Oryzias latipes: one gene and its partner. The protein of the gene in region 1 purifies or fractionates together with the protein of each later gene. This does not show direct contact. Links are inferred from orthologs where the notes say so. Each region holds a gene or a part of one and is shown on either strand. Other genes may lie near its edges. The genes, in order: rsl1d1 and larp7.

Region 1 (4,411 bases):
GATTGTATTGATCACTCAATCGCGAGGCCCTATAAATTATCTTCATTATATTGTAAAAAAATAAATAAATAAAATAAAAACCAAAAACATTTCATAACCGATAGACGATCAAAGACACAAACTCCCAAGAAAAAGATTGGCGTTGTACGGCCTGCAGACGCTACCCACCCTCACCCACTGGCCGAGCTGCACTGGTTAAAGCTGCACATGACAAATGGCACCTTTCTGTTGGTTTTATCTCCATAGCAACCATTTGAATTTTCGCTCAACCCAAGGTAACGAACAGGTCGAAGTCATTTTCAGAAGAATCTGTAAAAGTTAAACTTTCGTATTTCCTTGGGAACCGTAGTTTTCGGCGAACCAAGCCCACATTTCTGACATTTCTTAGATCCAACAATCCATGTTCTCAATTTTTTTTTTTTTACAATATTCCGGTGAATGTGCAACAGAGAGTGCCATATCCGAGAGCTCGCCACACCAACGGCGTTCTTCCTCCTGAGGTCAAAGGTCAATAAAAAGTTTGGTTTTTGGTTGTAGACTTAGGTTGGTGGCGTGTATTTGAAAATTCTTTCATTTTGAAAAACCTCTTTTGGATTTAGAATTTTTCCTTTAAGATATTTTGGCGTCCTTCATTATTTGTCGCTTTCTCTCGCCGTGATGTCATCGGCCCAGGACTCTCGGAGGACTTCTTTTTTTACTTTAGATTTTATTGAGTTCGAAGCGTTTCATTTCCCAGCAGCCTCATGGGTGAGCCATTGACGGGACAAAGCATTTCAGGGTGAGTGTGGTTTTGTTTTTGTTAGAACGGACGAAGGCTTCTGCGCCGATGAACTCAAACAGACGAGCAGAAAGTCCGCTTCTTTGGACTCACCATCCGGATCTTGGACAGGACCGTTTGGAAGACGGCCTGGACGTTCTCCGTCACCTCCTCCGCGCTCATGCTGGAATGCCCCACGTGCGCTAAACTGCAACACAATCAACCACAGGCGAGGGTTCAGAGCTGAGGGGGTCGATCCCCCTCATCGCTGTTTCAGAGTTATAGCGACGGTCTCCACGGGAAGAGGTGGCCCGACTGGATTTAGGGCGAGTTTCCGCAGCCTCCAACCGGGTCGACCGGGTTGTACCGAGGTGCAGCCAGAACCCGTCTGGTCCTCTTCGGGTTTCGAGGACAGAGAAGCGGAGCGGCTCACCAGCAGCAGCCTTTGTTGGTCACGCTCAGCCGGGTTCCCTGGACGACTCTCTGCACGTCTCTGGCCAGATGTTTGCTCTGGAGGTCCACGCAGAGCGGCTCTCTGGAGGAGACGGGGGGAAAACGGTCAAAACGCGAGCAGAGGAACCCAGAAGTACACCCAAAACAAGCTTCTAATCCTGGGGGGGCAACATTTTATGTGGTGTGTTTTGGTAATCCACCTCATAAGAGAAAGAGATAACATAGAATCTGGATGAAGACGAGCTTTGATTTTGATTGAAAACTGTTAGATATTAACTGATATAAATGAAAACAGAACATTTTGGCGTTTTTATTTCAAAACTGTGTCAAATTACAGGGAAAATAAAACATTATTAGGGGTTATCAATGATTTAGTCCAGTTTGGGGGGGTCAGATTAAACAGTTTATGGCCCCCGGCCCCCTGTTCTAATCCCAACGTTTATAGACGAAGTCTAAGGGGAATTTCTGATAAACTCCTGCCGCTCTGCAGAAACTATGTCCTGGAAAACGACATAGGTTTTTGGATTTCGGCTAAATCATAAATAATAGATCCGCGAGATGATTTTTTAATCCACAATGTTTAAAGACTTTATGATAAAACAGCTCAACGTGGATTTCTTTTTCAAATAAAGTAAACTACAATTTTAAGATGTTATTTTTAGAGCCGCTGTTCCATTCAACAAAAATCAAAGGATTCTGTTTGTACATTCATGTGTCGGAGGCCAAACTCCCGTTCTCACCTCTTTCTCTTATAAAACTCTTTCCCGAGCTGGGATGGCAGCAGGCGGCGGATCCGGTCATCCGAGAGGAACACGTCAAAGTTCCCCAGGAGGCGCCGCTTGGCCTCATACGGTTTATATTCCGCTTTCAGCATCTTGTAGGGAATAATCTGGAATAGGAGGAGGTGAACCCAAACAGGAATGGTCAGCATCAGGATCGGGATAAATGGTTGGATGAGATTTAGTTCAGCACCTCTGATATGCCTTTGACTCCTCTCTCCTCCAGCAGCTTCTTGTAGAACCTCTGGGTCTGCTCTGACGTCATGTTGGGTTCATCTCTGGTGAAAAGGCAAACCTCGTCCGTGTCGGTCCGCTGGCCGTGAGGCAACGGTCTGCGGAAACACTCGTATGAGAACCACACACAGAGGAGAAGGACAGCCCCTTCTCGTCCAGACTCACATGCGGATCGTTTGAGCGCGTTTGGGAATTTTCCAAAGGGTGAACTGCACGCTGATCTTTTGAGCTTCGTCCAACAGCAGGGAATTTGTGCTGGGTTGAGTTTTTAGAAAGGCCTGCAGGGCCTGAACGGCTTTTTTCACCTACAAGGAACATAAACTTCCATTAAACACAACAAAAATACCCTTAAATCTAACCCCAAATACGTTCCTGTATCGATGCTAATTTAGCTAGCTAAAGTAGCTAGCCAGTCAGTGACATAAAACGTTTACGTGTTGATCAAAACCGAGTTCGTTTTTAAGTAAAACGTTTTATTTTTCCTTCGATATAGCGTGAATACAAATCGGCATGAAAATAAAAGTTTTTACCTGCGATCGGTCCAACACAACTTCATCCGCCATGCTGTCGGCTACACGTGCTTCCGCTGCGCAGGCGCACAGTGCCGGAAAAAGGTTTACGTCACAGGAAGAGCCATGAAACTTTATTTATAAGTGAAAAGTAGAAAAGTGACAAAAATGACTATTTGGAGGTAAATTGTTTCAAATAGATATACTATTGAAAATTGGTTTCTTATATATACATGAATTACAAACGTTTATAATTTATTTCAACATTATTAAAAAAGTTTTTAAAACATTTATTTAAAAAATGTATATGTTTTAGGAAACAGTAAGTTTTAATTTTATTGTGCAGAATATTTCCGAATATGTAAAAGATACAGTACATTATATGGTAAATAATGGGAGGTAATGAATAAAACAAACAAACAACAAACAAGCTTGGGTCATGATCTTTTATTTTCCGTTTGGATTATGTAACAGCGATGTGTCTGCCTGTGTGAGTTTCTCCTTGGATCATCAGAGTCACACTGAATGTATGGTCAGTCCAATGATGCCTTTCTCAGGTGGAGGAGAGACCAAAGTCAAAACTAAAAATCCCGATACAGCAAACCTTAAAAACCGAATCGCTCGGAGCCCCGACTCCTCTGTCACAAAGGGAGGTGAACTTTGAATGGTTAGAATTTGCGTCTCCTTTAGCGCTGCGTCTCCGTCCTAAAAAAACAAACAAACACAGAGCATCGCCAGCCAACAGCACAGCAGAGCCTGGGGTACAGAGGGGGCGCGTGGAGCTACATTAGTGGCATCGCTGAGCTCTCAATATGAGAAAGCTGACACTCTGGGCTTGGTCTCTCGTTTCACATTGTTCATCATAAAAACTGATTCAGTCTCGATGTTTTTCGGTGGATGTGACGTTGTCCCCCGTCTCGGCTCCTTCCTGTTGTTCTCCTCTTCGGCAGAGTCGTGTGTAAAGAGAGAGCAGCTGATTGGGTCGGCTCTGGCAGCGTTTCTCCTCTGATAAACGAGTGGAAGAACTCCATGCATGCTGCCGCGCCTGCTTTTAGTCCTTTTCCGGCACCAGCTTCAGCACTTTGCCGATGGCGATGGTCTTGCCTGGTGGTGGAAGCAGAAAAGCAGGATGAGCGGAAGCGGCAAAAAAAAAAGAAAAAAAAACAGGAGTTTGAGGGTTCGAAGACCCCCTCCCACCTTCGTCTCGCAGCGTGAATCTCCCCATCTGAGGGAAGTCTTTGAAAGTCTCTAAGCAGATGACTCCCGCCGCCCGCAGCCTGGCGATGCACACCTGGTCCTGCTTGACGAAGCGAGGTCGCGTTTTGCTCTTGTCTCCCGTCTTTTTGTCAACCAGACAGATTAAGGCCTGCGGACAAAATTAAACAGCCTCTGCTCAACAACCGTCTCATGGGAGGAGGCCACGCACCCATCCAGGTGGAAGGATGCAGTTGCCATGACGACTTCAGAGAGAGCGTCACTCACTGTGATCTGAACTTCTTCGATGCAGGTGTGGATGTGAAGGACCGCGTTGTACCCGGGACAAATGATGGACTTGTGCTCGATGATGACAATCTGAAAGGACAGGAGTTCAATCCAGACGTTTGCTCAAATAAAAAGCAGTTTAAAGTGTTCAACGTCGTATGCGGCTAAACAAGTGGGCGTGTTTTTTTTTTTTAGGA
Region 2 (4,286 bases), on another chromosome or scaffold:
AGGAAACGTGACATGAAAATATGTAGAGCCCAAGCAGATCTCCACGCTACGTAATTTGTCCAGGTAGGGCACCCGTAGTGTGCCGTTATCCTCAGTCGAAAGGACCCCAAACGGTTATTGCAACGGTTATTGCAGTTATTGTGAACTGATAAATCAATGTTAGCCGACCTGCTAAACAACCAGGTCCCTACTTTAAATGTAAGAGTGGGGACGCCTGGAAAACCAAACTGAGGCTTAACCTGTTAAAAAGAGATGTCTAGCACAAATGCTTTTAAAAACAAAGAAGGCCCTCGAATGTTTAGGAGCTTCGTGTCAGCTTTCATACAGTTGCATTCGATACTTAAACATAAAACAATGTTTGCAGACACAGATTTAAATAAATGAGTTAGAAAACGGAGAGCAGACAGAGAAAAAGCAATGGTATTGGAATGAAGCAGTCAAGCTGAACCAACAAACACCTTCTTATTGTTATATACAGAGTCTGAATGAGCTGCTCAGGCCAACATACAGTGATGTGTGACATAGCACTGAACCAGCACTCTCTCACCTGTAACAGGAATCGGCTTCCTATTTAAAGTCTTGGGGAAAATCCCAGGCTTCCTGGGTGCATCTTCAGGAGGGTTGTTCAGCATCTGTTTTCAGAGATAAAATATACGTTAAGATGGAAAAAAAAAATGCTTTCCTTAAGAGGAAAAGTGACACGGATAGCTCACCTCTATTGCTTTCTGCGCTTGTTCTTCATTCTCAAATTCAACAAAGGCAAAACCCTTGGAGTCGCCCGTTGTCCTGTATCTGGGAATGCTCACATACGTCACATTCCCGCATTTGGAGAACACCCTTTCTATCCAGCTGTGGGAAACATCCTTGGGCAGAAGTTCCTTGGAAAATTTGAAAGAAAATCAGTAAATATGTGTAAGGCTTGAATTATGTTTTTAAGCCAAGCGAAGGCGACAACAGAAGACGTCGTTTTACCACGTAGACAGTGCAGCTGTCGCTGTTGATGGGTGGGTCACCAAGCGGCTGTTGACGTCTTACTTTGTTTCCCTCCAGGTTAACCTAACACGCAAAAGAAAAACGAAACCCAACTCATTCAAGGGGCCGAAGTGAAATCAAAGCTAGAACGAACTGCTAATAAGGCTGGGAGTGGGGTTAAACGGCCTACAGGCGCCAATCACACCCACCCTCGCTGTTCCCTTTTGACAGCCCTTACTGGGCGGTTGCTACATGCTTAAAATAAAAGCAGTTCATTTAAAAACAATTCCTTATATATCTATACAAAATCATATTTAAGAATTTGATTTATTGGAAGAGTATGGACACACCCTCGACGTTTAGCTTTTGAGAGAGTTACATTTATTGTTAAAAAAAAAGAAAAAACCTTCAAACTTTAGTGGAATCCTTATAGAGGTTTTTTCTCCTTTGTGTATATTTTTTATATATACATATTACTTTTAACGCCAGAATTGAAATGTTTTGTTGTGATGTTGTTTAAAGCTTTGAAAAAACAATGACAATAAAGATATAAAAAAAAGGAAGAATTAGATTTATTCAATATAACTTTGTGTAAAACTGATACTAAAACATCTTTTTTTATTATTGTAATTTGGTTAATATTTTTGGCAGGATTTAAATGATTAGCTTTCAAAAAACACAACAAAAAAGAAATACTTCATTTTTGCCTAATACTATTCCATTTGGATCTTTATACAAAGACAAACATATTTAATTCTAAGTTAATTATTAGATCATTTTAGGAATTTTATTTTTCATTAATGGTTGTTTTTTTAACTTCACCCCAATTTTTTGCTTTATAAAAAATACTTAAATCTAATCTTTAATTCCCTTTAAAAAGTAATAAAGCTATTAAACTCAGATGATGTATCTGTTTATTTGCCTTTTTTGCTTTTCATTATTTTTTTTAATCGCTGTTTTTATTATTAAATTGTATTCCTTTTTTTCTCTGAATTTTATTTTTACTGCATTTGGATGCTGATGTCTGCTGCTTGGTTTTTGTTCCAGTTTTGTATTTTTGGGAGGTTTTGGTTTCCATGGAGTTTGTGATTTTAACCTACTACGTCTTCTGTGACTTTGGATTAGTCAACAAAACACAGCCCTGCATCCAAGTAACAACATTTACCTCAACTAGAGTGGAATTTTTCAGCGCCCTGGCAATGAGCTTTGGATCCGTTGTCAGCTTCTTCATTCGATTGAAGCCCGTCAACACAGATATGTCAACATCTGAAAGGGGATTCACACGGAGGTTAGAGATCCTAACCCCTGGAAAAATCACACTATCCTCATCTTGACGGCTCCTTACATCCATCATCAGACTCCTCTATAATCTTTTTCAGGAAACGGTCCTTGTGGAGGTTTGCATCTCCAAACCAGAACTCCACCTGCTTCTTCACGTCTCCCAGCAGCTGTTTGACCCGGTACCTCTTCTTCTTCTCTGTCTCAAGTTTCAGCTTGTCGCTGGGTGCAGCGGCAGCACCGCCTCCACTTGCCTCCTTGTCTGTGTTAGTCATCCTAAAAAACAGAATCCCACACACTCATACAAAACCAAAATCCTGATTTTAAAAAATCTCCAAAAATAAAACTAAACCACATAATAGGAATTATCTTACTATGGTTTATTGTTTATTTGCTGCATTTGAGTCTTGGGGTTTACACACAAGACATTTTTGTAACCATAACACAATAAACAAATCTCATTCATATGTAAAGCAAAAAAAAAAAAAAATTGAAAAGCGAAAACAATAGAATTTCAGCAAAAACAGCTCTTAAGCCAAATCACGGCTGTACGTCCGACTTTTTAAAACATGTATTCAGTAGTATTGTTGTTGAAAATAGTTATAAAAGCGAGCAAAGTTCCGCTTAACTGTCAATAAATTACTTTTAAAAATGTAGTTATTTTTGCAAACTTACCTGAGTAAAAGATATTATAAACATCAATTTAATACTAACATAACAAAAAATACAAAAACACTGCGGCTAACGGACAAACATCACAGAATATTTCGAATGGAGACGTCGCACAATGATGTCGTCACAACTGTCCGCCAGGACGTTTATTCAACTTCCGGTAAGTTCTATTATATTGAGACGTACAAGAAAATTCAGCACCGATTAATGTGAAGAAAAAAAAATAACTTCATACTTTTAAGGAAAAAAGAAAAACTCAGCAACATTTTTAAAAATATATTTATTTAAATTTACGCAAAGTAGCAATAGAAAACATTCATTTCAAATGTAAACGAAATACAGGTAAAAAGATAGTTTCCAATCCAAGAAGTACACATTTATTTATTTCTGTTGTTTTTTTGTCCTCTTTTTTGTGTAAACTAAACTACCCATGTCTTTATGTGACATAAGTAACTAGTTTTGATAAGTGACATGGTCAATCTACCTATTAAGACGGTTAAAAAAAACAATAATAATAATAGTAAATAGTAACATGGATATGCCGAGATGTCGTCCTCGTAACAATTTTATTCTCTGTGTTTAAATAACGCGCACGGCCGGTTAGCTCAGTTGGTTAGAGCGTGGTGCTAATAACGCCAAGGTCGCGGGTTCGATCCCCGTACGGGCCAACATGTTTTGTATTAATGTCTGAGGTTATATGGTTTATATTTTTTATGACGTGATGTTTTCCTGGGCCCTGTTTCAGAAATGAGGTTAAGTGTAAACTCTGAGTGCGTTAACCCTGAAATCAGGGAAACCCTGGGTTTTCCGTTTCAAAATGGGAGGTTTGTTAAACCGGAGAAAGCAGAGTAAGTCAAACCCGTTTCTGAAAGATAGGTAACTTATACTCGGAGTCAGCGTCCATAGTTACTTACGCTGTGAACCTAACCTGGTCGGGAGCAGGTTTTATTCTTTAAACTCAAGGTTTCTGCCGGTCCCCTCCCCTTTTTAAAGACGAAGCGGTATTTTTCGCTTTAACCTTCATTGCCCAAATTTCAGTCACACAGAGACAAGTGACAAGAATGGCTTGTCCTTTTTTGGAGGACCCAATAGACGAGGAGGCTGCATTAATTCGTAGAGAATTACATTTACGTCGTGCGAGGATTTTGAGACCTAGACTCGATTTTTTGGCATTTCCCCATACGTTTTTGTTTGAGCGTTACCGTTTTTCGTTGCAGTCAATTACATATATACAATGAAAACAACATTAGATATGTATTGCTATGTAGATGTTTCATATGTCAAATATTGTCAACAAAGCCTACCTCCATGACATGCTCAAATTTGACCTGATTGAATTATGTTTTTATACTTCATTTTTAGCT

What was found.
Region 2: the proteins of rsl1d1 (region 1) and larp7 purify together in Homo sapiens (affinity purification with mass spectrometry; 3 studies listed by BioGRID and IntAct, with this or other methods). This does not show direct contact. The link is inferred for Oryzias latipes from reciprocal best matches to the Homo sapiens genes RSL1D1 and LARP7.

Annotation. Positions count from the first base shown.
Region 1 is NC_019877.2:2,439,273-2,443,683, reverse strand, and holds the start of rsl1d1 (ribosomal L1 domain-containing protein 1), read right to left. Parts: upstream 2,856-4,411; 5' UTR 2,787-2,855; coding exon 2,754-2,786; intron 2,529-2,753; coding exon 2,389-2,528; intron 2,322-2,388; coding exon 2,183-2,321; intron 2,100-2,182; coding exon 1,951-2,099; intron 1,293-1,950; coding exon 1,191-1,292; intron 966-1,190; coding exon 872-965; intron 1-871. Other genes in the region: gspt1 (eukaryotic peptide chain release factor GTP-binding subunit ERF3A), read right to left, coding at 3,784-3,836, 3,930-4,098, 4,215-4,304. UniProt on the Homo sapiens protein: Regulates cellular senescence through inhibition of PTEN translation. Acts as a pro-apoptotic regulator in response to DNA damage.
Region 2 is NC_019876.2:11,528,651-11,532,936, forward strand, and holds the start of larp7 (la-related protein 7), read right to left. Parts: upstream 3,053-4,286; 5' UTR 2,926-3,052; intron 2,527-2,925; 5' UTR 2,526-2,526; coding exon 2,318-2,525; intron 2,239-2,317; coding exon 2,138-2,238; intron 1,057-2,137; coding exon 973-1,056; intron 879-972; coding exon 714-878; intron 633-713; coding exon 548-632; intron 1-547. UniProt on the Homo sapiens protein: RNA-binding protein that specifically binds distinct small nuclear RNA (snRNAs) and regulates their processing and function.